Rhinolophus ferrumequinum: one gene and its partners. The protein of the gene in region 3 interacts with the protein of the main gene of each other region in a pairwise test. Links are inferred from orthologs where the notes say so. Each region holds a gene or a part of one and is shown on either strand. Other genes may lie near its edges.

What was found.
Region 1: the proteins of GOLGA2 (region 3) and TCL1A interact in binary tests that used the Homo sapiens proteins (3 or more experiments, as listed by UniProt). The two-hybrid records come from large-scale screens. The link is inferred for Rhinolophus ferrumequinum from reciprocal best matches to the Homo sapiens genes GOLGA2 and TCL1A.
Region 2: the proteins of GOLGA2 (region 3) and NEBL interact in binary tests that used the Homo sapiens proteins (3 or more experiments, as listed by UniProt). The two-hybrid records come from large-scale screens. The link is inferred for Rhinolophus ferrumequinum from reciprocal best matches to the Homo sapiens genes GOLGA2 and NEBL.
Region 4: the proteins of GOLGA2 (region 3) and PLAAT5 interact in binary tests that used the Homo sapiens proteins (3 or more experiments, as listed by UniProt). The two-hybrid records come from large-scale screens. The link is inferred for Rhinolophus ferrumequinum from reciprocal best matches to the Homo sapiens genes GOLGA2 and PLAAT5.

What each region holds. Positions count from the first base shown.
Region 1 is NC_046289.1:7,766,250-7,774,211, forward strand, and holds the start of TCL1A (T-cell leukemia/lymphoma protein 1A), read left to right. Parts: upstream 1-4,943; coding exon 4,944-5,060; intron 5,061-7,545; coding exon 7,546-7,716; intron 7,717-7,962. UniProt on the Homo sapiens protein: Enhances the phosphorylation and activation of AKT1, AKT2 and AKT3. Promotes nuclear translocation of AKT1. Enhances cell proliferation, stabilizes mitochondrial membrane potential and promotes cell survival.
Region 2 is NW_022680355.1:6,076,264-6,083,223, reverse strand, and holds the start of NEBL (nebulette), read left to right. Parts: upstream 1-3,950; 5' UTR 3,951-4,371; coding exon 4,372-4,452; intron 4,453-4,539; coding exon 4,540-4,611; intron 4,612-6,960. UniProt on the Homo sapiens protein: Binds to actin and plays an important role in the assembly of the Z-disk. May functionally link sarcomeric actin to the desmin intermediate filaments in the heart muscle sarcomeres.
Region 3 is NC_046295.1:77,184,149-77,191,959, reverse strand, and holds the start of GOLGA2 (golgin subfamily A member 2), read left to right. Parts: upstream 1-4,793; 5' UTR 4,794-4,890; coding exon 4,891-4,938; intron 4,939-6,434; coding exon 6,435-6,551; intron 6,552-7,514; coding exon 7,515-7,595; intron 7,596-7,811. UniProt on the Homo sapiens protein: Peripheral membrane component of the cis-Golgi stack that acts as a membrane skeleton that maintains the structure of the Golgi apparatus, and as a vesicle thether that facilitates vesicle fusion to the Golgi membrane.
Region 4 is NC_046294.1:7,754,934-7,762,257, forward strand, and holds the start of PLAAT5 (phospholipase A and acyltransferase 5), read left to right. Parts: upstream 1-4,318; coding exon 4,319-4,334; intron 4,335-4,726; coding exon 4,727-5,011; intron 5,012-6,393; coding exon 6,394-6,484; intron 6,485-7,324. UniProt on the Homo sapiens protein: Exhibits both phospholipase A1/2 and acyltransferase activities. Shows phospholipase A1 (PLA1) and A2 (PLA2) activity, catalyzing the calcium-independent release of fatty acids from the sn-1 or sn-2 position of glycerophospholipids.

The DNA of each region.
Region 1 (7,962 bases), on a different chromosome or scaffold from region 3:
TACTAGTGTTTGGGAAATTGGCTAAATATTTGGAAAAATTAAGATACAACTAGATTCTGACCTAGGATACAAAATATACATATTAGTATATAGTATAGTATACTGTATTTATATACCCCACATAAAAAAATTAAGTCCCAAACAATGTGAATTGACTAGAATTCCATTTCGAATAGTCTTAAAATTGAAAAGCTAGGTCTAAAGATACTGTGGAAATGCTTCAGAGGACATTTTCAGTGGGAAGTCTACAAGCAATACAAAGTCAACATATTTACTTAGCTCAGCTTATGTATGTTAGAAGCACGATGGTACAAGCCGACTTCCTAGGAGGAATAAAGACATATATGAAATCTTTTTCTCGGGGAAAATGAATGCGATCAAATTAAAGATGAATTGAGCGTGGAACAAGAACCAAGCTGAGAGGCAGCCCCAGTAATGCTGTGGGTATAATCCCCAAAGTGTGAAATAATCCTAGGTTTGAGAAACGCATCTGATACAAATGTAGGGGAACATTAGTGTGTGTCTGCGCCATGGGAGCCACATTTCCAGCTCCAATTGTCCATTGCAAGTTTACTACATGCTGCTGACTCTACCAGCTTGTCGGGTCACCCCCTTTGGTGCGTTTTGAGTAGGGGGTCTGGGGGCATTGGCTTTTGCGTTTGTGCGCTGTGTGTGTACTGGGTTAATATCAGGTCTTGGGACTCAGAGGGGGCTCCCAGATCATCAGCCTCACCTCGAGCTTGTTGGAAATGTGGTATCTCAACCCCACCCTCCGAATTAGAAAATGCATTTTGACAAGATCTCCACCCACACCTTAAAGTTTGAGAAGCGCTTAAAACTTAAAACTCTGTTAAGTTTAAAGAGAGCAATAGTAGCCACCTGTGGGTAAAGCCAAGCTCGGTCCAAGTTTTACGTAGAATATCCTTGTCCCAGCTTCTCCATTAATCGAGAGGTTAAATTTCATCCTTTTGGATAAAAGCTATAACTTCCTTTTTACCCTGACTTCACTTGATCATCCGCCCTAATTATCTAAAATATGACCCAGACTTAGGAATAATTTAAAAACCATTCCAGGTGACCAGCATGGACGCCTTGATATCTACATATCAGAGTTTCTACGTTTTACCTGTTGGTGAGATCTCAGACCCTTACAATTCTAATCATCTTGGTGCTATGGTCCCCTGCACACACAAAACGGGAAGCAGGAAACTAAAAGTAGGGCACAGGGAAAGAAGTAAAGTGCAGGTTTGGGGTGAGGTATACAGTGAGAATTGACGGTAGAAAGAATAGCTTTAACATTTTCACAGTTATTTAGTTTTATAAATCTTGTTCCCACCTCAAAAACAGTAATTCAAATCATAGAGACGTGATTGTCAGACTGGCTGCACTTTAAATTAGCAGAGGAGACCCTAAAAAAAGAAAAGTTGTACCCAAGCCTGCATCTCAGGAATTCTGGCCTCATGGGTATGGGGTGGGGTCCAAGCACAGTTGTTTCACAAAAGCTTCCTAGGTGATTCTATTTAGCAGTCAGGGCTGCGCTCCACTAGCTTAATGATTTGGGGCCATTGCAGGGCCCACAGGCCTGGATGCCTTTACAGGCCCATTACAGCTTGCTGTAATCATGGGTGATGGTTACCAGGATTTTCTCTAAAGAGGAAAACACTTGATATATTAGCAGCAATTGTAACAGAACATAAGATAACCTAGAACTAAATGATACAGAGACACATATTCAGCTCTTGGGTCACAGAGAAATCTAGAGGGACTGGTGGAAGGAGGCCGACACCTATCATCTCTCCCTCCTGGTCCTGCCTCTGTAACGTGCCCATGAAGCACTGGGGGATCTTGTTACAGTGCCGATTCTGACTCAGTAGGTCTGGGGAGGGCTCGATATCCTGCAATTCTCATGAACTTTAAGTGATGCTAACGTAGGTGGTCCGGGGGCCAGCCTTCAGGAAGCAAGGCTCTGGTTCCTACTGCTGGCCATGACTCACCCTCAAGGACCTTCTTTGGAACCCGACAAGAAGGATGGCTTCCTCACTCAGGAAAAATGAATTCCACTGGAATCCTTGATATCCAGAACCACTGTGCTCAAAACTATAGGCTTTCCTGAACTAAGGTGTCATGTGGGATGTCATGCGGGGTCTCTGGTCCCACTTCCCGTATAAGAACACAGGACATGGTGAGGCCAAAAAGGAACACCCACGGAGCCATAGATAGGGGAGTCATATCACTAGAGTCTCGCTGGCAGCTGGGTTGGAAACACAGGAAGCAGGAGCCACACTATCCGCAAACTGCCGTCCACTTCTCCCTGCCAATCCACCTCACTTGCTAGCTGCAATGCGCCGTGCTAACTGCAATCTGCGCTTGCTAGCTCAGCCACCATCTTCTTGCTAGGCCCTCATTTTTCTGCTAGCGTAGCAACAGCAGTTATATTAGTGGCCAATGGCTCACTGGTTACAGCTGACGGCCAACTAGCCACAGCTGATGGCCATCCAATCACAGTTGATGGCCATTTACTACCTGAGCCAGCACCTTTCCACGTGAGGCCGAGAGCCTGGAAACTGCACTCCTGGCTCTGTCCCCACATAAGGTCGCGAATTAAATCTTATCTTCTGTTAACCGTTCCCTCCTCCCACTAGGCAACTCTATCAGAGGTTCAGGGTCTGTTAGTTAGACATGGGCTTAGAGAACACCTAGCTTGGCCCATTCATTACAAAAGTGTGGCAATGAGATGGCAAAGGATGGCAAATTTCACAGGTCAAAGTCCAAAGTGGATCCAAGTCAGGACACAACAGCATCAATTAAGAATTCTTAAAAAAAAAAAAAGTCAAAATAATTGCTTTGCGTTACTTTCTGCATGAAACATCCACTTGATTATTCTCAGGGAGCTGGCAGACTAATAAACAAAGCGTTGGAAGGAATACAGAACGCTAAAGTGAGACTGACGGGCTGTAGAGCCCTAAGATGGGGCTGAGAACATGCTGGAAAGGCTCCCTGTCTCTGAGACCACACGACAGACGTTGTTTCCCCTCTCATGAAATGCCATAGAGAAGGCTCCTCATCAGCCTTCTTTCACTTTTCATTTTCTGGAACCCCTTCTCAAACGATTTTCTAAATCCTTCCCAATAATGACGCGTTCTCTTACGCAATAGTAAGAAGCCCTCGTGTGAAACTGAAGAAGTACATTGTTCTTTCAAAGACGGGGATCAAATTCCCAAAACATTCAGAAAAGAAGTGTAGCCAGCCAAATGGGTCTGATTCTTGTCCCATTATGTGTTCCTTTGTGGCGTCTTAGGAAAGCAGAACAACTGCTAATGAAATCGACAGACCCGGTGGCATTCCGGGTCCCGGAGCCATGGATGTGGCTGCGTCAGTGGCCACATGGCTCCTGGGTGCCCGTTCCCTTGCCACAAGAGGCCACACTAGCAGTATTGTTTAAACTGAACTCGTTTACCATTTTCAACCTCAAAGCTCAGGAGGAGGCTGAGACTCCCCCACAGAGCGTATTACCACATAGTCTCGGCTGCCAGGGGCTATCTGGATCTGGAAGTAAAAACAACCCCCAGGGAAATCAGCCTGAAAGCCACAAATTTGAATACTATTAAGTACTAACACCACTAGGGGCTGCACTGGGAAAAAGCTTTGCTGGGCTGGCGTCTCCTCCCTCGGCTCCCAGTTTTACTTGGTTTTTGTCTTCCATTTTACATTCCTGGTAAATCCAATTATACCTCTATTACTGGCGGCCACCACTGCCCCTTCTTGGGCTGTCTGGATAGGCAGAGAAGTAGATACATATCTTTGCTGCCTGGGGATCAGATAGTCACCTCACTTTCATGACATTTAAGAAGACCACAACTTATTTTCTAGGTGCCTAGTCAGAGGGACAGGAAAGAGCTAGGATGAGGCACCAAACTGCTACCAGTGGTGATTTTGGAGCACTGAGGCTGGAGTGCGTTTTACACATTTCTATTTTGCACTTTATTTTCTTAATCGCTTTGACGGACACGTGTTATGGCAAAATGCAGTAAAATTGTTTTCCTTATTTGCTGTAATTTACAGAGAGACAGTTTGGTCATATAAGCCAGGGATTTTTTCATATCCATCGGAGTCTTGGAGTGGAGGGAAGGGTTTCTTTTCAAGTATTGATTTCGAACATTTTCAGTAATGAATTCAAAGCCTATAAAGAGAAAAGCCCTGTTTCTTCACCACCATGTTTCACAATAGCTATTAGATGCGCACAGCAGCATCAAAGCTGTGGAAAATGCATGGCTTTTGTGTAGAAGTGGGAGCAGGGCTTCAAAAGTCGCACTTCGCGGAGGAAATTGATTGTGACACCCAAAGCCACAGGCTGGAGGTGATGACATGACCTGGGGGAGTCCAGGCCCTGTTCCGGCTTGCAAGGGTCCCTTCGGATCCCAGCAGACATGGAGTGGGCGCTGGCTCTGGGTTGCCTGGTGTGGGCTGTGAGTCACGGAATGGGGTGTGGCTCGAAGAGCCACACACCGTGGGTGATGGGACAGTGGGGTCCTAGAGGAGGGCGCCAGCGCTTCAGGACAGAAGACAGGGCCAAGGCTACAGACCAGGGTACCTCCGCATCAGTGGAGAGTTGGGGACAGAGGGCAAGGCCGGCTGGCCTCCAAGGATTCCCGGGTCTGTGCGCTCAGACACCGCCAGGATCCAGGGCACAATTCAGGACTTGGCGCAGGCGCAGCTCCGGATGCTGTGGGTCGCTCCACCACGCCCTGGGCCTGGCCCATCCTGCCCTGCGCAGCTGCCTTATCCTGCCCTGGGCCCCGCCTGCCTTGCTTCCCATTCTCCTCCCGCCCTGCCGCTTGGGGGCGCCCGCGCCATCCCGCTATAAAGCGTCTAGGTCCTGCGTCCCATCAACAAGCGAGAGGCCTTCGGAGGCTCTGGCTCTTGCTTTAGAGCGCCGGAGGGTCATGGGCGAGCTCCCGTTCAGCGTGCAGACGGCCTTGCATCCCGACCACCTGTGGATATGGCGAAAGGCCGTCTATGTAGACGAGAACCAGCGCACTTGGCTGCCCATCTCCATCAAGGTACAGCCACTCCGGGGCTGGGCTGGGCAGGGCAGGGCAGCATGGGTGTCACCATCCCTGGCCAGCCCTTGGGTGCCAAAGACGTCCCAGGCTGTGCACGGCTTCCAGGAGCCCCTCAGGTGCAGCGGCAGGGAGGCTCAGAAGGCCTGATCTGCTCGGGGCTCACAGATGAAACCATTTTGAGCTGGTCTCTAAGGAGAAGTAGTTCTCCAGGCCAGGAAGGAGTGTGGGAAAAAGATATGTTGGCCAAAGAATGGGGACCCAGTGCCTCGGGAGTGTGTGAATGTGATCTTGAGTAAAAGAGGAATTTTCTGGGTTTCAGGGTCCTAAGCCATAAAATGGGAATAATATCTCTCTAAAATAATTAATACGTGCATCCGATTATCAGTCTCCTTAGGTGCGCCCCAGAAATCGGTATTTTAAAAGGACCCTCAATAGATGTGATCACCAAGTTTGTGAACCACCGCCCTAGAGTTTGGGGTAAACAGACTTCACAAACTTATATAAATAATATAGTAGTATAAAAGCCAGTATTAAATAAATGTTGACTTTGTTTTATGTGTGATGACTTAAGGTGGAACTTAAGTTAATGATAACTTTTTTTAAAAAGAAATCTATTTCTCTTTAAGTACTTTCCATCATAGCATGGGTTGCCTCAAAGAAAATTAGGTGGAAAATGCAGAAACTTTCCATATGTAAACCGAAGTAAGAAAGTATAAAACCAAAGTTAAAATATGTAATATTAGAACTTTATGTAATAGCAAATAGCAAAAAGTTATTGAGTAGTGACTGTGTCCCCATTTTACAGGTGAGGAAACTGAGGCATAAAAATGTAAATTTGTCCAAAGTAACACTGCTAGTTAGGTAATGGGGTTGGGTTTCCACCATCTAAATTTGCATCTTTATTGGTATATATGTATATATATATATACTTTTTAAAATCAAGTAAAATATTTACTTTTTTAAGTCAAATATTTAAAACAAATTTAAGTGAAAATCTTTTTAATCTCCAGCTGGGGAATATCTTCTTCAAAATGACTGAAACCACAAAGCAGAGTTTTTCACATAATCATTATAAATTCTGCACAAAACTTAATGCATTAGCAAACAGTGCGACAGGATTTACCTTACGTAACTAAGACGCGTATTCTTAACATGTAAATCAACAAGCAAAGGATGAATAAGCAAACTAAAAATGGTTAAAGGATATGGAAGACTATGTACTAACACAACAAGAATGGTGATTTCCACATCTACACCTTGCAGAATGATCTGAATTATTTTTTAACCCTGAGTTCTACTTTCATTCATGGACAGAAAACTTTTAGAGGCTATTTCCACTTTGGAAAAATAGTCGTTGAACACACATGAGTGCCTAGTTTATATTCCAACAATGATTCTAGGCCGTGGGGGTTTGCAGTGAATGGGATAAAAATCCCACTACTTGTGAAGGTGACATTCTACTGGGCGAGAAGGACCATAGATAATTGAGGTCGGTGTTAAGTTGTGTAGGAGAACAAAGGTGGAATGAGAGACAAAACCAGTGGGGTGTCGGGTCTTCAGGCAGGACCCCCAGGGAGTCTTAATTTCCATTGGCTTGTCATGCTTTTGCCCATTTAATTTGAAACCTTCTGGAACCTCTGTTTTAGGTATGCCTCTTGTGTATATCTAGAATTGGATTTTGCTGAAATTTGTCTTTATAGAAGACATGCATTTGAGTAGATTCCTGCCTAAAAAAAGGGTGTGAGTCCCACTTAGACCTAGGGGAGAATGTTCCGGGCAGACAACAACAGGTGAAAGAGACTACTGGGAGTGTCACACGTCCCAGAAATAGTGCAGAGGCTGTGTGGCTGGTACAGGATGGAAAGTGATGGACAGACGGTAGGAGAGGAGGGAGACAGGCCCGGCTACGTGGGGCTGTGGGCTATGGTAAAGATGTCAGTTCATTCTGCCTCTGATAGGAAGTCATCGGAGCGTGTCCAACAGGGAGGGGAGTGACATACGTGATTGTTAGCCACACACCCTGGCTGCTGTGCCGAGAACTGACACTTGGGGAGTACAGGACCAACCAGGCGGCAAGTTAGGAAGTCATCGAAGTAGCCCAGATGGGGATGGCAAAAAGTGGTCTGTCACCTGATTCTGGGATCCAGGGATATCTTGTTTAAAAAAAGATATATGATAAAATAAAGAAAATCCTACATCAGCTGAAGTAGGCACCAAACCGCAGAGTTAAGGAAGCTCAAGGGCCCCGTGGCACAGCCTAGCTACTAGAAGTTCGTCAGAAAAGTGGGCCTTTGTGGCCCTGTCTGGATGTCCTGGCCCAGCCAGAGTCCCTGAGAGCACGTATGGCTTAAGGAATAGAGTTTCTAGAACAGTGCTTCCCAGAATCTCAGATGCCAGCCAGCCAGGCGAGTGGCAGGAAGAATCTAGTTATTTGTTCCTGGGGGAACCCTGAAGGTGTGCTCTGGTCTTCATTTCTCTTCAGACAGAAGATGGCCTCCGAGTACTCTTACGTCAGGAAGACATCCCCCGGGGGGAGGCTATGCGCCCCAGCCAGCTGCCCCCCAGCCCGCTGCCTTTGATGTGGCAGCTCTACCCTGGCAGACGGTACCGAGGCTCAGACTCCAGTTTCTGGCACATAGTGTACCACATTCAGGCAAGTGTGTGCTTCTGCCAGGGACCCGTTGGGTCATCTTGGGTGGTCCTACTGCCCCTCCCCCACGTCTGGCCTCTGCAGTGTATCTGTTCCCTCCTTTTCTGCACTAAAAAAAAAAAAAAAAAGAGGAGGGAATTTACAACTGCAGATTTTGAAAGGACTGTATTGAAGTTAGAAGTGAATGGTCGGACTACCCTGGGAGGCCTCTACCAGAAGCCCCCTCAGCCGCAGGAACGCCTCTGTGGA
Region 2 (6,960 bases), on a different chromosome or scaffold from region 3:
ATTGGTAAGGTTGACAGTTATTCAAGTTGCGTTGTATTCTTTTGATTTCTAACTAACAAACAGTAATGCAATAGCCATTGAAAAGAAGAAGATCGGCGTGATGGCTGTAAATTGTAAAAATAGATTGGGCTAATATTAAGCAGAACTCTCCTCTTTTATAAAGAAGACAAATTGCCCCAGAGAGCTTACATTTCTTGTTTTAAGAAATGATTCCTCCCCCTCATCTATTAGTAAAGTTCTCTTTTGGACAGATGCCTAAGGATGAGGAACTATATGAAGCAAAAGGAAAATAACCAAGAATTCAACTGAGAACGTTCTGGCGGATAGTCATTAAAAAACAAATACCAACCAACCCACCAACACAAAACCAGGCAACTGAAAATGAGTAGGTGAAAGATTGCCAAGGCAGAGAAACAAGTCAGATGAACTAATCCCCCTCTCACCTAACCATTTAGGGTGAATGTTTTATAATAAGAAATCTTGAATTACATTTTAAAATGGAAAAATTCAGTTTATGTCTGTAAGTTTTCTCAACCCAGAACTGAATCTCAGTCTATTTCAGTCGTTCATACGGATTTTTATTTGCAAGTCAGTCATCATTATGTTGTGGAAAAACACATTTTCTATCACTGTAAAGAAACAAAAAGGAGAAAAAAAGTGAAATAAGTATGACATATTTGTCAGAACTGAGGAGATTCTTGTCTCATGTGACCTTCAGAGCACTGAAGACAAAGTACTATATGACTCACGATAGCAGTATAGCCGGTTTCCTTGGCCAGGGGCTGTGTCCCCAAGACCTGAATTACCCTAGGGAGGGCCGTTTTCTATGGAAATACACATAAACTTCAAACTCTAAAAAGATCAAAGCCTTCTGTATTATAACACACAAATTAGCTCTTATCTTTAGGCTGCTATGCTGTAGTAGGTCCTTCTGGCCTTAAAAAACATATTGGTGGTATAGAGTTTTACCTTTCAAATGAGAAGATCCTTTCATATCAGGTGCTTTTCCTGGAACGGTGTACCTTTATTCGATAGGTAAAAACTCTTGTGTTTGTAAGGGCCTTTGTTATTTGTAAGGTGCTTTTCTTTTATTAACTTCTGATAATTCAGTTTTTCTGTTTTTAACTATGGAGAGTTAGAGAAGGATTAAGTAATTTGTCCTAGAGTCTGTGGGAGAGCCAGACCTGGAAGTAGGGGGTCTAGCTGTAAGTAATGTGATCCTCATGTTGGTCTCATTCTGGTCAGCGCGTGGATCTAGTACTAAACAAAAAGTAGACAGCATAAAATGAAATGCTCAGTAAGTAAAAGGGATTAGCAACTATACAGATACTCCCTTTTTGAGGTGCCCCAAAGTGAAAACATGCATTAAAAGACAACATTTAACTTGGTTTAAAGAAAAAAGGATGATAGGGAATTTTGAAACATGATAACTATCCATGAAGAACAATTTCTTTTTATTCCCGAGTCACATTTTGGAGCTATTGACAAGAGTGCTTTGCTGTGATAAAATGCAGGACTTAAAACTTGACATGAATTTTGTATTATACCTATAGGTGAAAGGAAAAATGCATTCAATCAAAAGTAATAATGTATCTAGCTTGCCAAACAATCCATTAAAGAGTTATTCCATCAAGTCTTGAGTGATGGGGTTGTTATTTTCTACCTTATCTTAGCACTAAGTATGTTTTACTCACCATTGCATCTCTAACACCAAGCACAGTCCCTGGCATAACAACACTTACATGAATACATAAATATTGGGCTTTAGTTAAATTCTGGTCCTAGTGCTCCATTGAATAACTTCGTAAATAAGACAAATAATTAATTTCTCTTGACCTTACTTTTGTCCTCTGTAAAAGAGAGGGCTTCAGCAGGATTGATTTCTTAAGGATCCCTGTGGCTTTAAAATTCTGGTTCTAAAAATCTCAAATGCAAAATTTGTGTTCACACTGCATGTGGTATTGGGTTTTGCTTTTGAAACTTTCGTGCATAATCTCAACAGATTATTTTCTTCCAGCGCAGTGGAGAGCCAGTAAGAACTTACTACATGATGGGAAATGAGAAAAAGCAGCCGTTGCAGTCTGATGAAGGTAATTCACCATGGGGAAGAGATAGCACCATGAGCAACACAAGTATTGTTACCTCATAACACTAGTATTGTTACCTCAAACACAAGTATTGTTACCTCATGACACGAGTATTGTTACCTCACACAGTAGTATTGTTACCTCATACACTAGTATTGTTACCTCAAACACTAGCTAAGAGGTGCATCTTAGGCAGCTGTGGCAAGATTCTTCTCCCTATACTTCTAGAAGTTTGCAAGAAAAGCTTATAGAAAATGCTTTCCCCTATTTCCAAATAAAGATAATGTACCAGATCTATAGACTATTAGATTATCCTGGCAGAGGACTTGATGGAATCAGTCAGAGTCCACACATTTTGCTCCTTTATGGAAGAACCACAATGTAATTAGAATTTCTGTATAGAATTCTCTACACTAGCATGACATGACTATTATTTTTATGTTGTTTTCCAAATTCAGCACCTGTGGGACACTTGTTTCTGACATTTTTTGGTAAGCAGGATACGTGATGCTATAAGTTAGATTGTATAGAAAACTGTTTCATGAAAAGACCAATGACTCTTCTAGAACACTATATATTCTTTTTTTTTTTTTTTTTTTTCAGAATAGAACAGTGTTTCCCTAAGTAATACTTCACAAAAGAATGGTAGTTTTCTGGAGTATTGGATATCATTAAAAAATAGGTAGGTAGGCAACTAAGTGGATAGATAGGTTAGATTAGATTAGATGGGTAGGATTTCATGTTTGGGGAAAGCTGGATTAAGCAAATTTAAATATTTTTCTTGGTCGAGGGTCTTCTCAGAGCTCCTAATGTGTGATCATGCCATGTGGATCTCTAAGTGGCTGAGGTAGATACTGGTATACAGGTTTCCCGAAACATGTTTATTTAAAAATCCCCCTTTTCCCCTTCAGAGTATTCTGTGGAACTTTAGCCTCATGGAACACAATTTGAGAAATGATCTATACATGATGACTGTAGAATTTTCCTTGTCAGAATTTTAGTTTAGGCAAGGCCAAAGCAATTAAAAAAATAAATGTCAAGCTGGATATGCTATCAAGAGAAAACAGCATTATATTTGGTTACTTACAATGATGTATTATTTTGAATAAAATTGTATTTTATGTAATTACTTTCATTATTCACAATAGGGTCTCTTTTATGTGCAACACATGATATGCTGTGGCTGTATTCATTTAGCCTAGGACTTAAAAACCTAGGATTTAAAGCCTAGGATTTCATTGATAAATTATAAGCTGGACAGAGTCTTAGAATTGCCTAAATTGACATTAAAGGACTTGTTTTGAGAAATACCATGTATTTTAAATTATATAACTGATGACATGTGCCACAGCCACATTATTGTATTGTGGTCCATGTCAACATTGTAATAGTTCATTTTCCCCAACTTTTCCAAATGTATTGCATACTCAGGAATATACAAGTAACTCGTGAATTTGTAAATTTGACACAATGGGCAGAATTGAAAGAGTATGACTGTTATTTTTTGAACCAATGATGTTTGTAGAATTCTTAAATGATATACCAACCTATGTTCACTGCAACTTCTCATGTTTAATCATGTTTATAATTAAAATAATATAGCAGTATAGGATTAACAGTCATAATTAAGTCAGAATAGATTCGTTGAAGGGTTCAAAGGTCTTTCCATAATAAATTACTTGCCTTTTAATCAGCAAATATAAAGTGAGTGTTTTTTAGAATGTGAGAAGTACATATATGTCTCTTAAAATATTTAATTTAGATTAATGAAATGAATTTAAATGATCCAGATTCACGATAGCAGATCAGAGCTATGTCTGATATTCCAGTGAGAGCTTTATTTAGAAGGAATTGAGGAATCTTTGAGATAACAGGCTTTGGACTGTGCTATCTTGAATGTGATAGCTAAGTAGTTTTTCCCAGAATCTTGAAGTCTTTTTCAAGCTCTTTTGTGAATTGAATTAGTGAAATATAAATAAATCGTCTTTTCTGGATTTCTTAACCCGTTCCAAGAAGGTTGACTTTACATTTTCATACAATGGAATTTTGCCTATTAAAATGTTACTTCCACTTGGGAGGCAGTCCTGGCCGACCTCCGGCATCTGTTCCATCCACTCACACAGAGTTGTGATAAGGAGAGTGAAGTATGAGCTAAATAGGGAGGAGGCCTGGGTAAGCTCATTTCTGCCGAACACCAGACTCCAAGATCTCAAGAGTGCTGCAGTACATAAAAAGTGCTACATTAGTGAATTACAAACTACATAGATAGACAGAGAGGGTAAAAATGAGGGTCCCTGTATCTGAGGATGTAAAAGATGAAACTGAAGAGGAAAAAACAGAGGAAGACGAAAATGAAGACGACAAGGTGAGTGGGCAAGCACCTACTGAAGAAGGGTATTTGTTCCTCTCAGTTGATGATTAGAAATGTTTCCTTTCCCTTTTTTCCGGATAGGTATTCTTTAAGCCTGTTATTGAAGACCTGAGCATGGAATTGGCCAGAAAATGCACGGAACTCATTAGTGATGTAAGTGGCTTATGCAATTTCTGTCTTATTTGGCATTGTATGGGTGGCAATATTACGTCATGGAATCAGAGAGCTGGAGAGAAAAATCTTGAAATCGTCTATTAAGACACAATTATTTTCCAGATCATGGAACTGAGTCCAGAAATTTTAGGTGATTTCCCCAAGATCACCCATAAAGAGAATTTCTGCAGAAGCAGAATGCTGTGCTTTCGGGTTTTCGCTGTCACTCTGCCGTGAAATCATAAAGCATTGAATTCAGAGACTGTTCCTTTCGAGAACACAAAGCCTTTTACAATTTGTATAATAATGTAATTTGTTTTGAGAGGATGTCTGCCTAAATGAATGATTTAAAAAAAACATTTTGGGGACTTTTTGAGGCATCTGATGAACGCCATAGTTTTCCAAACCAGAATATACGTGCATATAATGTTGATATCCAATATAGGATTCCTGGATAACTGAACTACGTGCTAAGAACCCTGAACTAAATGATGATGATGATGATATCAGTGAAAAGGAACATTTTTGTTGTGACTTTTTTCATTAACTGGGATTGGTTTCTATTTCAAGGGAATCCTAGACTTATAGAGTTAAGTCATATATTTTTACAGTAAATTAGAATTCTGGAAGCACAAGGAAAAGTATTGCTCTCTAGGGATGAGAGTTTAGATGAGCCTCATTAAAACCTGTGTAAGGGAATTGCTGGGACAGAAGAAAGATGGAGCATGGAAAGTGAATAGATGCCTGCATCCGTGTTTAGAGAGGTGAGCACAAAAATGGTTGTTTCTGTTGTGAATGAACAAAGAGAACAGAATATTTTACAAATGTTTATTTTCAAAGGAATTCAGTCCTGGGCAGTGGGGTAGTGTTCTGGCAAGTTCTCTGAAGTCAACCTGTTTGAATCAACAGTCACCTTGGGCAGGCTGGCTGGGCTCAGTCCCTTCAGTAGGACATGTGTAATAATAAGACTGAATAATAGTGACACATCTGAAATGTTTAGTAAACTGGGACATTGTGGGTACTCAAGAAATGCTAGCTGTTACTAACTACTACGTGTGCAAATGACTTGTATCCGTCCAACCTCAGTTTATGTATAACTCTGTGCTGCCTTGTAATTTGTCAGAAAGAACCAAAGGATGGTGGGAATCATACCCCTGCCAGGCATTGCAGCTTGTGAGGTAGGTTCTATTGTTTTCCCCATTTTAGAGGTGAGGAAGTAAAGGCTCAGAGACACTCAGTAACTTGCCTGGGTAACACAGTTAAGCAGTAGGGCGTAGGACTTGAACACAAAACCTTCTCTCAGCCATGCACTGGTCTTTTTCCTGGTCCCAAACTTCAATTTAAAGACAAACCTTCAAGTCCCTTAGTTTTGTTTTCTAATTCATTATATTCTGAAGGGGCATCCATGTGCTTACCCGAGCCTTTTTGTTTGTTTGAAGGCAATCTGTCTACAGCCTATGTCACCAAGAGAATTTGGTATATATTTTCCTGCTCGTACAGTCCCACATCCCGAAGCTTTCAGAAGCAGTCTCACATTGTTGATCAAATCACGCAGCTAGTGAACCACAGACCTGGGATTTGAAGCAAGGTCTGTCTGACTCCTAACCCTTGGCCACCACGACGTCCTTTCTCTCCTGCTGTGTGGCAGACGTTGTGTTCTGTGCCACAGTGAACCATTGGCGTAGGGTCTACGAGCCTCAGTTCAGAGGTGGTACAACCTAAGGCCGAGTAGCTTGCCCACGGCCACCGGGCTAGTCAGGGGTAGGGACAAGATTCAGGCTTAGGTCCGGCTAAGTCCAGAGCATGGCTGGTATCCACTCATCACTCTGCTCCATTTTATTAGATAAAAAGGGCAGTTTTATGGGTTTCTTTTCATGGAGCAGCCTTTCATTCTGTCTCTCTTTGGACCTCTTCTAGCTCGCATAGGTCTTTAATGGGGTGTGATGACCAGATCTGTGCCCAGCAGTCCAGGTGTGTGTGGTCTGTGATTATGTATAGGGTGGGACGATGTTCCCTTTTGCTCCCTCAATGCTTTGTGATAAAATTTAGAGTTTCTTGGACTTGGAGGCTGCAGAGAGCTGTTGGACATCATTCTCAGCCATTTTCAGGCCTACATTTTGACTTGTAGCTGATTGCTTAGGGCTATCATCTTTAAATAGTAGCCTGAATGATTTTCACCTTGCTAGGGATGAATGTCATCTGTAGTTGTCTGCCCTGAGGCACGGCCCTTTGAAAGCCTCCCCAGTTCATGGCTTTCATTTTGCCGTTTCACTCTCCCTGAGAGCTTGGGGTCATCAGCAGACCTGGAGACTTTGCTGTATCATGCCCTTGCCAGATAATTGATTAAAA
Region 3 (7,811 bases):
CTTCAAGTGTCTGCTTCTCCAACGTGAGCCCACGCCCTGGACAGTAGCACAGGGTAGACAGGTCTGAAGCTGGGGTCTATCTAACAGGCGCTAATGCCCTCACCATCAGGACTCCAGCCCCTCACGCTCCTGTCTTCCTGGGCCCTGCCCATTCTCCTCTCCTCATCCATCTGTATTTCCCTCCTGGTTTTCTCCTTCCCCTTCTTTGGAACCCATTCCCCCACTGAAACACAGAGAAGCCCTCCCAGCTGCGGAATCCAGGATGCTGACAGGCAGTTCTACGACACGTGATAAAAGGGGCCGGCCTGGTGGCTCAGGTGGTTAGAGCTCTGTGCTCCTAACTCCAAAGGCTGCCGGTTCGATTCCCACGTGGGCCAGTGGGCTCTCAACCACAAGGTTGCTGGTTCAATTCCTCGAGTCCCGCAAGGGATGGTGGGCTGCGCCCCCTGCAACTAACAACGGCAACTGGACCTGGAGCTGAGCTGCGCCCTGCATAACTAAGATTGAAAGGACAACAACTTGAAGCTGAACGGCTCCCTCCACAACTAAGACTGAAAGGACAACAACTCGACTTGGAAAAAAGTCCTGGAAGTACACACTGTTCCCCAATAAAGTCCTGTCCTGCAGCAGCTGGACCCACAGCCCCTGCCTTGAACACCATCCCAAATGGTCACCGGCCACAGTGTCCACCAATCCAAGCCAGGTGATGCATCTGCGGCCACCTACACAAGTCCTTACCTCCCAGGTGGGCTGTCTGAGCCAGCGCAGACACACAGGTATCTGTGCCTTGGCTAAGCCCTCAGGTCAGTGAGACTGTGTTCAAGGAAGAATAAAATACCCCTTTAAGTCACACAGAGTCGCCCTTGCACTTTTTGCCTCTACAGCAAGTCAGCCACTTGAGGCCAGGATGGTGTCTTAATCAGTGTGAGTAGGCCCCAGAAGACTGGGAACCCTAGTCTTCAGTGCAGCAGGTGGGCGAGCCCATGCTCAAATCTGCCTGCAGCTCCAAAGCAGATTCTACAGTGGAGGGGAAAATCCCCAGGGAGCTGTACAGCTGCTTCGCTAGGTGACCGGAGGGCAGGGGCACTCAGAGAATGGAGCAGCTGTGAAGGGTGGGAGGGTTGGCACGTGAGAAGGCCCAGGAGCAGAATGCAACCACCCCTGGGGGGGGATGGGGATTCCTTCCAAGCCCTGATGCTCCCCTGGAGTCCCGCGTCTCACCGAGTTTGCCCAGCAGCATCTGGCCTACGTCCTTGATGTCGTTGTACTCGTGCAGCTGGGAGATGTGGTCGTCCAGTTCATCCACACTGTAGCCTCTGGGTCAAAGGGTGGAGAGAGAGAATCGTTAAGAAAGCTGATGAGGACGCAAGGTTCAGAGAGTAATGAGGCATCTACTTAACAAATGGTCACTAAGGGCCTACTAGGTGCACTACACTGGGGACATAGAGATGGCAACACAGACACTGCCCACTGAAGATTACAGCAGGGCAGGGGTCAGCCCCTGGTACATGCTCCCTGTGCCCTTAGGGAGGAGTCCCAACCACACTGCTACTGTGACCCTGGCCACAGGTGGGCACACCAGTGGCTAATCAGATCCCCTCAAGTGAAATGCACATTCAAAAGCTGCTTAGTCTGTGCCATGTGGCTGGAGCAAGGGGTGTGAGAACACGCAGGAGTTGTGCAAGAACCAGCACCTCCCAGGCACTGAAAACCCCACCTGCAGAGACAGAATGGAGTCCGGGTGCAGACAGGTGCAGAGCCGAGAATGTGGGCCCTGGAGAGAGACTGGGAGAGCGATAACCTCCATTCCTGCCAGCTTTCCAGTCCTAGCTCTTGGTCCACCCAGCCTGACCACACCCGACCCCAGAGAGGCTGCTGAGACACCATGAACCCAACGGTATGGTTCTGTTTTTATGCTGAGCTAGTATGACTGCGTTGCAATTACTGGGCTCGAGTTAAAAGTTATCTGAACGATGCTGAGGAACCCAGTGAGACTCACTCAGATATTAACTGGGAGAGCTCCTTGTCCAGCACGTCCCTCTTCTCCTTCAGTTTCTGAATGTCAAGGTGCACAGAATCCTCGTTGGCCCCAGCAGCCTGGCCAGACTTGGGAGACGGCCGCTGAGTGGCACAAAAAGTCATTAGCCAGACGGAGCCATTGTCCCCCATTCACAACCTACACGTTTTCCTCAATATTACCACGTCTGCTTGGTAATAGACACCTCCCCACGCCCGAATAAGACCACATTTCCCAGCTTCCCTTGGAATTAGATGTGGCCCTAAACCTAAGTTCTGGCAAATGGAACTTAATCAGAAATGGTGTATGCAACGGGACACTGGAGCTGCGCAGTGTCTTGGATGATGAGATAGACGCCACGTTGAAGATGAGGTGCAACAAGACAGAGCCCTGGGTCCCTGATGACTGTTAAAGCCATTATTATTTGGGGTTTTCATTCACTCCCAGCCAAACCCAATTCTAACTAAAGGACCATATCTGACTCCAGAGAATCCACGTCAGGTCTACTTGGATTCTTCTCTCAAGTCTATGATGTTGCTGGGTTTATTTCATTGGATAACAAAATCTTTCTCTGGGACTACAATTCATCTTTGCCCTTTCTGCCTCTCAAAGCTGCGAAGGCGAGTGCCTGGTATGCTGCTACTGTTCAGGAAACGTGTGTTGGATCAACTGTATGAACGCTACCAGAACAGACGGAGGAAGACGTGGTTCCAATCTTCCAGCCAGTCAACAAAGACTACCAGGAGCTGACAAAGGCTCCAGGGATTCACCAATGGAGAAGACAGCAAGCCTGGCCCCTGCCTTCATGGAACCGATAGCATAGTCCCAAATATAAAACACCAAACAACTATGCTCTTCTTGCAGAGATCTCCATTTAAAGTTCTACTCACAGGTCACACTTCATCAGAAAGGCCTTCTCTGACCACCCCATTTAAATGGGTACTTCTCAAAGACTCACTATCCCTTTGTCCTGATGTTTTATGACATCTGTCACCACCGGACATGTTATGCCTTTCAGTGAAAATATTTTCCTTTTCCCTCCTTTCTTCTGCCACCCCACCCCACCCCACCCCACCCCACCCCCGTTCAAGCCGTTGTTTCTCAGTCTAGTTGTGTAGTCCATGCTGGTATTGAGTCTTGCGCTCCCCCAGGCTGAGGCAGTTGGTCACAGGTCAGCCACTCACAGAAGCTCACACACCCTCCGGCTGCTCACGGGCAGCCCAGCTCCAGGGAGAGTTGTTGTTCACAATCTTAGCTGTAGAGGGCGCAGCTCACTGGCCCATGTGGGGATTGAACCGGACGCCTTGGGCTTTAGGAACACGGCACTTCTACAGCCTGAGCCACCGGGCCAGCCGGGAAATATTATTTTCATTGTCGGCCTTACACCACTGGAGTGTAAGGTCCATGAGGGCAGGGACTTTGTTAGACTCACTGCTGATTGCACTGTGTCTACAGTAGTACCCGGCACATAGTAGGCATTCAATTTATCTAATGAATGCATGAATTACAAATAACTAATCAACTAACTACAAGTCTTTGAAGTTGAGTGCTTTGAAGTTGAAGTGCAGTGTGCTACAGGCGTGTCTAACAGGGTCGCTGGACTGAGCTAGAAGTGGGGGTGAGGCTTCTCTGAGAAGCTCAATTCTACAGGATGAGTAGACATCAGCTTGGCAAAAAGCTGGAAAAGTATTCCAGACAGAGGACAGACGGTACATCCAAACGCCCTAAGACAGGAGAGAGCACATATGTTGGAGGGAATGAGAAGGGTTTACCTGTGGGTGGGATGGGTGAGGGAGGGCATGGTGGTGTCAAAAAGAACCAACCCCTTGTGGTGCTGTCAGGAAGGAGAGACAGAGCCCACTTGGAGAGCCTGGGGTGCCATTGACAAAGACAGGGCACTGCTTCTTCTTTGAAGCTTGGTGGGCACGAGGAAAAGAAGGGGAAGGGCTGAGAAATAACCCAGAGTTTCTTCGGATAAGGGGAAACCTTGGAGAGGGCTGGGGGTGGGTCAGCTGCTGTGGGGATGGAGAGGACGGCTAGGAGCAGCAGTACTTACACGGTGGAGGGTAAGGGGGGCGCAGGCATACTCACAGGGGATCGGAAGGCCCCGCCGCAACTTTTGGAAAGTCCTGGTTGAGTCCTGGAGAGGAATCCGAGGGAAAAAATGGCTGATTGGACCTAGAATTCGCTCCGGGAAGAGGGGGTACTGTGGGGGTGTTGGAGGAGTTGGGAAGTAGGAGCTACCGGCACTGGATCCAGTCGGGAAGGGGGCAGATACGCTCCCGGGATCAGGGTGGAGATCCTCGAGGAAGGAGAGATTCTGATAGGATGGAGTGTGTAGACTGGGTCGGGGTCTCGAGGTGATCTCTGGGATGAGAAAGTCTGGGGCAGACTTATGGGAGTCAGGTCAGGGATTGTGAAGGGATGAGTTTTCCCCCTGCAGCCCGCTCCTAGCCCACCTCCTGAGCCCTGGGGTCCGGGGCCCCCGTTTCGAGGGGGTTTGCTGTGCAGAAGGGTCCAGGGCGAGGGACGGAGCGCGGCCTCTCAGGTCCGCGGGTTAATCAGAATCCTGCGATGGAGCCCAAGAACCGTCACACAGCGAGCTGCGCGCGCACCCTGAGAAATAAGGCCCCGCCCCTCCCCGAGGTGGGCGGAGACAGGGGCCGCACGCACATCTTTTGTCGTGACGTCTTTCTCATAGACCAATAGTATTAGAGAATTGAGGCCCCGCCCACACCGCTGCGGCCTAGTTACCCCGGTCCCTCCTTTTGTGGCTCCGTCTCGCACTTGCGCCGTAGCGACCGGAAGCACACTCCGCAGTGGATGTCGGGTTGTGGCTCAAATTGTCCCGCCTCCTCCGCCCCCGTCCCGGGATGTCGGAAGAAACCCGACAGAAGAAATTGGCCGCGGCCAAGAAAAAGGTAAAACGTGCCGGGTCGCGGCTCCCTGACCCAGCCCAAGGCCCCTCCGACGGCTGGGCCGTGGCCAGAGTATGTGCCGCCTCGGAGGCACACGGGGCAAGCCCCTCGGAGCCTGTTGGCTCCCCACCAAAATCTTCTCACCAGTCCCACCCCCCCACTCCCCGGCAGCCCAGCCCCCGCCCTCGCTTGTCGCTCCCGGGTGACTTTGGGCCGGTAACCCCCGGGACTCCCGGCTCGGCCCTTGTCTCCTGCCGCCAAGAACCGGACCTTCTGGGCTCTCTGGGCTCCGTGGGCTCCCTGGACTCCCAGTTGCTAAGGACCTCGGTCCGGGCCCTGCGCTCCCTTCCCCCTCCGCGGAGCGGCGACTGGGGCATCCATAGGGAAGAGTGGAATGTAGTTACGTCACAATCACCCTCGGAACCGTCTTTACAGCCGCGAGCCAGGTGTTCGATCTAAAGACCCAGCCTCCTAGTGTTTTCGCTCTCTCCGTTTTCTTTGGTCGCGGCACAAATTTCCACCTTGAAGGGGACTCGGCACTATGGGACCTAGATCGGAGAGGTTTCAGGCTTCCTGTAGACTGTACCCCATGCTTAGACACTGATAGCGTAAAAAGCCTACATTTCACTAGTGATCTCAAAACGTTGACCACATCTCTGGGTGGCAATGGGGAGAATGTGTTTAGTTTGGTTTTCTCCCGTTTCCAGTCCCCAGAGAGTGTTCCTAATTTTTAATCTGAATTCTCTACCTCACGTTCTAATCATGCCCTATGATCCTGAGACCAGATTCGCCCTCAATCAGTGTTCTTTGGTGTGAGCTCTGCTTGTCCTCTGTGGAGCAGATCCCGAGAAACTGCTCTTCACAGCTGGGAATCATCCCCAAATCATCATCTCAACATGGGGGGCTCTGAGTGCCACAGGATAAATATGGGACTGAAGCATCCGTTTTGCTGGAGGCTCTTGAGAGAGAAAAAGCCTTTTTATATTAGTGCATTTAGGGATTACATTTACATAGATTTGTAAGATTATAATAGACGTCTCTCAAAATGGTGCTTGAGTTGTCTTTGCTACAATCGCAGATTCACTAGGGGTGTGTCTTCACTGCCTTCTACCATTGGGCTCCATTGATGTCAAAGTTTGAGAAGTACTGCTGTGCATCTCAATAGATGTATAAGAAGGGACCCTCATGCCTGATCACTTCAATGTTTACTTTTCCACCTCTGCCTCTGATTTTGCCCCCTGGCAGCTGCTGCTTTATGGCATAACCCCTGGACCTCAGCGTCAGAAGACTGAATTTAAATTCCATTATTGCCTTTTTTTTTTTTAAAGGCTATGTGATCAGTCCCTTTCTTCAGCCATGAAGTGAGAATTACAACACCTTGTAGAGTTGTTGTGGCATCGCATCAAATGGCGCATATGAGTATTTTGTAAACTGTAAAGTAGGATGTGAATACAGGGCTTTATAGTTCTCGTGAGTCTTACTGCGTTTCCTCTCTGCAGTTGAGAGAATTTCAGAAGAAAAACAACCTTGGTGTTCCTTCAGGAGCAAAGAAGAAAAAGAAAAGTAAAAATGGCAGTGAGACAACCACTTCTGATGGTTGTCACTCGCCTGAGGAGGTGAGTCTTGGCTGGCCAGGCTACTGGGGATGGAAGACTAGAACTTAGTGGTTAGATTGTGGAAGAAGTGTCAGGTACTGGTTAAGAAGTCTGGATTTGAATCTTATTTCTCCCTCTGCTAGGGATATGATTTGGGGAAATTCTTTAAGCTCTTTGGGTCTGTTTCCACATCAGTAAAATCCGGGTACTACTTACTTACCCTCATGGAGTTTAAATGAGACTGTTGTTTCTATCTGAATCCCTTAAATACAGAGCCTGGTGTAGAGTAAACATTCAGGAAAGGGGAGTTGCTATTGGACTTACTGCTCTGGTGGTTTTCCTCATCCCCAGCCTCAAGGGGAGGCCACTTACTATCAGGCTCTCCCTTTAGGAAGCACCAGAGGAGCCCCCGGGTGTGGTGAGGAGAGCCCTAGGCACTGGATTAGGAGTTTCGAGCTCATCTCAGCCACAGCTTGCTGGGTAACCTCAGGAAAAGGACTTCCTCCCCTGGGCCTCAGTTTCCTCATCTGTAAGATGATATTGTTGGATCAGATAATGTCTTCCAAACTTATGTTTTAGCTGTAATCCCCTTTGGTTCAGCAAACCTTTACTTGGAAATCGAGGTTTTAAAATGGAGATGAGGGTCTGGAGCCCTGCCAGGTTCGCCTCTAGCAGCCTGGGCCTGAGGAGAGGGGCTAATGGGCATATTCAGAGCTGCACTGGTCAGGTGACTCCACTCTTTGTGAGTGCATCGTTCAGGGGACTTTTCCATCTGTTCCTTGGCGTTGATTTCTGCCTCTGGCAAGGCAGCAAGCGGCTGTTTGGAACGATGGCACAGGCCGTGGTGTTGACCTTCTTCTCTCTCCTCTAGCATTCTCTTTCCCGGAACCCATCTCTTCTCCCTTCCCTGGCCCTCTTGCCTCTCTCTAAGACACTTTTCTCTGTCTCTCCCTGCCCTTGTTTTTCCCTTTCCGCCTCCTGTAGATTCAGGACATTCTGAAGGTGCTGGTGTCCGACCTTAACCGCTCCAATGGGGTTGCGCTGCCCCCATTGGACAAGTGGAAGGTGAGGCATGCCGAGATCCCCTCTCTGGCTTGCTCTCTGTCAGCTCTGCACGCCCCCAAGGCTTCTCTGGTTTGGGGGATACTTTGCTTCTGGCTTCTTTTGTGTTGCTGTCATTAACCCTCGGCCTGTTCATGTCTGCTTTTTCACCTGCTTGATTGACTGGGGTTTTTTTTTTTTCCCTCCCCCCATATCTTTCAGCATCTTGGAAAAGTTGAG
Region 4 (7,324 bases), on a different chromosome or scaffold from region 3:
CTTTCTTTAATTAAAAAATTACAAGGGAAAAAAAAGGTGGCGCATAAACATGTAGGGCAGAAGTCGGCAAACTTTTTCTGTGAAGGACCAGATAATAAATATTTTAGGATTTGAAGACCATAAAGTCTCAGATGCCACAGCAACTTGTCAATTCTGCCATTGTAAGAAAGTGGCCATCGACAATATGTAAATGAAGGGCATGTTTACAGTCACATAAAATTTTATGGACACTGAAAGTTAACTTTCATATAATTTTCACATCACACAACTATTCTTTGTTTATTTTTAAAAGCATTTAAAAATGTATAAAACCAACCTTAACTCTCAGGCCATACAAAAACAGACAGTGACGGCTAGTTTGTGGGCTGTAGTTTTCTGCCTCCTGCTTTTAATTAAAAGAAATTAAGAGGCACATCAACTGATTGTAACTTACGGACTTTGTTTAGATTTTTGTTCAAACAACAACAACAACAACAAAAACCAGTTAAAAAACATATATGCAATCAGGTGATGTGAACATTGATTGGCTATTTGATGACATTATAGAACTTTAAAAATATTTTTGTGTTCCTTTGGGCACCCTCCCACTGCAGTACCCTGGAACGAAGGGAAGGCAGAAAGACTACAGTTAGGGGCAGGCAGGAGGAACATGGTTGACAAGTCATGGGGCAGTCATGGACTCCCTCGAGCTCTGTGCAGTTCTACTAGTACTGGGAGCCTTGGCTTCGTGGACTTGCTAGAGATAACGTGCAGGCCATCTTCTATTACTCCAGCACTCTCTGCCACTGAAGACGCTTTAGAGAGGCATATGGATCTCCCTTTGGATCCTTCCAGAAGTAGGAGTCCTTCCTTCTGCAGTCAGCCAGCCTGCAGCCGGCCAGCCCAGCCTGGCTGCCTGAACCTCCCCTTGGCTCCTCCTCTTTTGCTCCTTCTCATGATGCCACAGGAGCCTCTGAGGTCCTTCTCTGAGCTCCATGACAACCAGGAGTTAACAAACATTCACTATAGGACCTTCAGTGTCTATTTTAGGAAGAAGAATGATGATTTTAGAGGGAAGGTTTGAGATGCAAAAAGGAATGATAAAGACAGCGGCAAACATACGATCTAAACAAATGTCTGTATAATATAATAATGTATAATATAATAATAATTGTAACAACAGTAATGTGAATTCCAGGTTTAAAAAGAGGACAGAACTAAAATAGCATGGGAGGGGAAAATTGGAGTAAAAGTGTTCTAAGGTCCTTGCATTGTTTCAGAAGGGTGTTTAGGATATTACTTTTAGACTTTAAGCACGCATGTTAAAATTTCAAAGACAATAAATAAGAGCGTGTAAACTTCCAAATAAGTAGAGGGGAAAATGTAATATACTTAAGATCAGATCTTTATGAAGATTATAAAACTTCATTGAAAGATATTAAAGAAGATCTAACAAATAGAAAGCTATAGTACTGCTATGTAATGGGTTGGAAGGCTCAGTTTGGTAAAGAAGTCAAAATTGCCAAATTGATTTATGGCTCCAATGTAATTTCAATCAAGATGCCAACAGAATATTTTGAACAACTTTACAAGCTAATTATGAAATATTTATGGAGGGGCCAAAGCCCAAGAATAGTTAAGAAACTCCTGAGGAAGAATAAGGAGGGGGAATCTCAAAATATCCATATATATATCAAGATTTATCATAAAGGTATCGTAATTAATATCACATGATAGTAGCATAAAGACCGACACTTTTACCAGTGGAGTAGAATAGCACCAACAATATTCCTACTCATTCCTGAAGGCTTGACACCTGACACAGGCGGGCCTGCTCATCACTGGAGGAAAGAGAAACTATCAATAAGTGTTTATTCCTTTGAGGAAAATCAAATTGGCTCTCTGCCTCACACATACAGAAAAATCAATTCCAGACAGATTAAATGAAAAAGATAAAAATCTTAAATTTGTACAAGAAAATATAGAAGAATATTTTCCTGACTTCAGGGCAAGGAAGGACTTCATGAAAAGACACAGAGAGCCAAACACAAAAGAAAGGGTTGATAAATTCTACTTCATTAAAGTCAATAACTTCTTTTCATCAAAAATTTCATAAGGAAAGTGAAAAGATAGGGCATGAGCTAGAACATAATATGTGTAAAAAAGCAGAATGGACTAAAAGATGAGTGTCAGGAATATATAAACAGCTCCCACAAATCAATAAGAAGACAAATGCAAAAAAAAAAAAAAAGAGCAAAAGACATGAACAGGCACTTCTAAAACGAAGAAATCTAAATGGTTAATAAATACACGCCAAAGTCTCAATCTTATTAGTGATCAGTGAAATGCAAATTAAAACTTCAATGAAATACTATTTTACATCCACTCACCTGGAAAAATTAAATGTGACAGTACTAAGTGTTAGTGAAGATGTAAATCCACAAGAGTTCTTATACATTGTTGGTAGGAGTGAAATTGGTACCATCAATTGGGAAGACTCAGTCTTCTACTGCAAAAGTTGAACATTGGCATACCTTTCTTTCTCTTTCTCTCTCTGTAGACACACACACACACACACACACACACACACACACACAAATTCTGACAATTGAGTTCGCAAACTTGTTGCAGTGATGTTGCTAACCTTTTTTGATATCAGAGGGATTATTTGTTATGAATTTGTACCAACTGGACAAACAGTTAACCAAGTTTACTATTTGGAAGTGCTGAAAAAGGCTGCGTGAAAAAGTTAGACGACCTGAACTTTTCACCAACAATTCATGGCTCCTGCATCACGACAATGCACCAGCTCACATGACACTGTCTGTGAGATAGTTTTTAGCCAGGAAACAAATAACTATTGGAACAGCCTCCCTACTCACCTGATCTGGACCCCAGTGGCTTCTTTCTTTACCTAAAGATAAAGGAAATATTGAAAGGAAGACATTTTGATGATATTCAGGACATCAAGCATACTATGACAACAGTTCTGATGGCCATTCCAGAAAGAGTTTCAGAATTGCTTTGAAGGGTGGACTAGGCTCTGGTGTCGGTGCATAGCTTCCCAAAGGGAATACTTCGAAGGTGACCATAGTGATATTCAGCAATGAGGTATGTAGCACTTTTCCTAGAATGAATTCACAAAATTAATTGTCCGACCTCGTGTGTGTGTGAGTGTCTGTGTTGCCAAAAAAAAGTATACACATTTTAAGAAAGGAAAAAACTATTAAAATTGTAATACTCAATATATACCAATAACAAAAGATGAATACAAGTCACGTTTGACTTCTGCAATTACAAGAGGTGTTCAAAGTGGTTACCATCAGTATCCAGATACTTCTGATTATGGCATACTGCTTGACCAATGTTGACCAAAGTGTCCACTTGTATACACTTTTTTTGGCACCCCCAGTATCTATCTATCTATCTATCTATCTATCTATCTATCTATCTATCTATCTATCTATATCTATATATCTGTATCTATACATAAATATGTACATACATTAAATTTATTGGGGTGACAATGATTAGTAAAATTACATAGGTTTCAAGTGTACAATTATATAATACATCATTTATATGTCACATTCTGTGCTCACCACCCAGAGTCAGTTCTCCTTCCATCACCATATATTTGACCCCCTTTACCCTCTTCTACCACCCCCACCTCCCCTTACCCTCTGGTAGCCACTAAACTGTTGTCTGTGTCTATGAGTTTTTGTTTCTTTGTTTGTTTGTCTTGTTCCTTTATTGTTTTCAGTTTTATATCCCACATATGTGTGAAGTCATATGGTTCTCTACTTTTTCTGCATACCTTTCTATATCCTATAGATCCTATACTAAAATCTCTTGCATGCATACACCAGGACATAATTTGGGTTCTTTTCAATAGCTTCTCATTTCAAATTAGAAAAAAACAAACAAACAAGTGGCTTTATCACTGAATCAATAAATTGAGGTATAGTCACATAATGGAATATTTTCCAGCAGGGGAAATGAATTACAGATCTATATACAAAGTGTATTATTATAGGAACAACTTTGAACGAATCAACTTGCATTTGCAAAAGATAACATACAGCATGATACCATTTTTATAAAACTTCAAATAAGAAAAATGAAACAATGTATTATTTCAATGAGGTATGTAGCACTCATTGAAACAGAAGAGAGATTTAAAAAAACTTTTAAAATGGGATACAGAAGAGAGATTTTAAAAAACTTAAAAAGCAAGGGCACAAGAAACACAAAACTCAGGAGAGAGATTACCTCTGGCAGGGAAGCAGGGAGGTGGGATAAGGAAAGAACAGAGGTAGGAGGAGCATCTGTGCGAGGTATGCTCCGATTCTCAGGTAGGATGGTGTATTCATGGGTAGAAATTTGACTACCATGTTTTATAACTATATGCATTCTTTTGTATATATTACATGATATATATGATATTGATACGTATATCTTAAATTTAAAAATAAAACATGTGTGTGAAAAAATACATATAAAACTCCGAATCCCTTAAGATTTTAACTCCTGAATGTGCCTCCCCAGGCCCTCGGAATCTGGCCTCAACCGCATTCTCCGTATGTCGCTCCTCTGTCTGCTCCATGACATTCAGCTTCTCCAGCCACATCAGATGCCCCTCAAGCCTTTACCAAACTGTTCGGTGTTACCTTGCACCCCTCGAATTGCCTCTTACGTCCCTTTCCCTGCCTTTCCTCTCAGAGCCCCAGATTCCTGGGCCTTCAAGCATCCCCCTTTGTGCCCTGTCTGTTCCTGGACGCGCGCACCGCGCCCGCGCCGTTGGCCCCGCCCGCGCCCCCCAGCCCAGAGCGCCCCCGCCACGCGCCCGCGCCGTTTGCTACGCGCCCCGCAGTTCCCTTGGGCAGTCCCGCCCGGCGCTGCCGCAGAGCCCTGGACCCCGCGGCTCCGCTGACTTGGGGCTGTGCCCACTGGGAACTGGCGGGGCGCGTCGTCCCTTGCCAGGCCCCGGAACCCGCCGGGCTGCAGCAGAAGGATGGGTCTGAGCCGCGTCGTCGGGAGGAAGGGCCCGCTCCGCCTCCTTAGGTTTCCCAGATCCTGCCCCAAACCCACCTCAAAAATGGCAGGTATAGGACCAAATAACAATCAACCTGTTCCTGGGCACTCAGCTGTGCCTCAGTCTGGGCGCTGAAGGAATGGGGCCCCACCTTACCCAGCCGCCGCGCACAAGCTTGGACCGGTCCTGGGTTGTTCTCCAGGTCCTAGCAGGATGTGGCACCCGCAGAAAAGTCCTCATGTTTGCCTTCAAGGCTCCTTCTTGTAGATGTTTATTGGTAGTACGAAATGCCTGTTAATAATAATGAGTGAATAGGAGGCCTGACAACTAAATTCACAAACTCACCCTAGAAAAAGTGTTACATACCTCATTGCTGAATATCACTACGGTCACCTTCAAAGTACTCCCCTGGGGAAGCTATGCACTGATGTCAGCACCTAGTTCACCCTTCAAAGCAATTTTGGAACTCTTTCTGGAATGCCCATCAGAGCTGTCATGGTATTACCCTTGATGTCCTGAATGTCATCAACATGTCTTCCTTTCACTATATCCTTTATCTTTAGGTAAAGAAGTCACTAGGGTCCAGATCAGGTGAGTAGGGAGGGTGTTCCAATACAGTTATTTGTTTACTGGCTAAAAACTCCCTCATGGACAGTGCGATATGAGCTGGTGCATTGTCGTGATGCAAGAGCCATGAATTGTTGGTGAAAAGTTCAGGTTGTCTAACTTTTTCACGCAGCCTTTTCAGCACTTCCAAATAGTAAATTTGGATAACCGTTTGTCCAGTTGGTACAAATTCATAATGAATAAGCCCTCTGATATCAAAAAAGGTTAGCAACATTGTTGCAACAGGTTCGTGAGCTTAATTCTCAGACCTTGTATTTCGGAATGATCATTTATTATGAATTTAATCAAAGCAAGGTAGACATCAAGTGACTCTCTCGGGTATCTACCCTCCCACTGTACTTCAGGTGGCAATGCACAAAGGTGGCAGTGCCCCAGCAGGTTGAGTTAAGAAGGACGCTAGCTCCGCAGAAGCTTTTGCCATCAGACTTAGCCCCAAGGTTTCTGCGATCTGGGATAGAGGCAACTCTAACTTCATCTTTTCCCGGAGTCTGTCCCTGGGAATTCCAAAGTCTCTCTTTCGCAGAGGAAGTGAGCCCTTTCCAGCACCTAGTCCCACAATTTCCTTCATTCATCCAAAAATTGATTGAAGGTTAACCAGGAGCCTGGCAAGGTTCTAGACGATAGCTCCAAGCCCACCTTTGCTGTCAAGGTGATCACCTGAACCCTTCTTTCACAGGTCCACCACCACCACCACCACTACCAGCACCATGGCAGCAATTGTTGTTTAAATCGCTTTTTTTTTCTTGAATTAGGAGAATCTGTGGGATCTCAAGTGTTGGTCCAGCTCTCGCTCAAGCAGCCAAAGCAGGGTCCGTTAGAAAAGAGAAGAGGCGTCCAGCAGGGGTAAGATTCTTTGTATGGAAGGGCTGGGTCTTTGGGTGAGAGAAGCCTTTTGAATTGACTTTGCTGGCAGTTCTGTATAACAAATCCTGATGTAGTTTCTGTGCAAAACAGCCTACCACTAACCAGTATGCAGAAGGCGGATATGGTCCTGGCAATAGATTGTGACCAGGCTTGGGACTCGCTGACAGAAAGTGTGTCCTGCAGTGCTTTCTAGCCACTGAGGCCTTCTCCAGAACCCTGAGAATGGAAATGCCTTCAATGGTGCTTACAATATTGCCAGTTGGTCTCACTAACTAATGAATGATGCAACCTTCTTATACATTTCCTCCATTCACATTCATTAAAAACATGGTTTGCCTCTTTTTAAATTCTGAGGGGCTGAAAGTTTCCAGAAGAGCTGTACTGAATATGAGGGATCCCCACCCCCACCCCCCATTTAGTATACTTTGGAGAAGAGTTGACGCATGAGGAAAGATAAAGAAAATGCCCTTTATGGGTTGGTAATGTACCACATATGTACATGCGCATATGCTTTCTCATTTAGCCCTCGTGACAACTCTGGAAGACAAATATTATCATCTCTATTTTATAGATAATAAAACTGATTTCGGACCGATTAATGTACTAGCTCAAGGTTGGACAGCAAGTATCAGAGCCAGATTTCAAATCCAGGTCTTTTTGGCCCCAAAATATTTCATTCTACTATTTAAAAAGCATATTCTTGTCTTCAGTTTCAGTTCTCTCCTCTCCCGCAACATTTAGTTTCAAGAGACAAAATATACTGATTTCTTTCACGTTATTTGCGGTTATAGTGCTGTGATTCAATAGGATTTCTCAGAA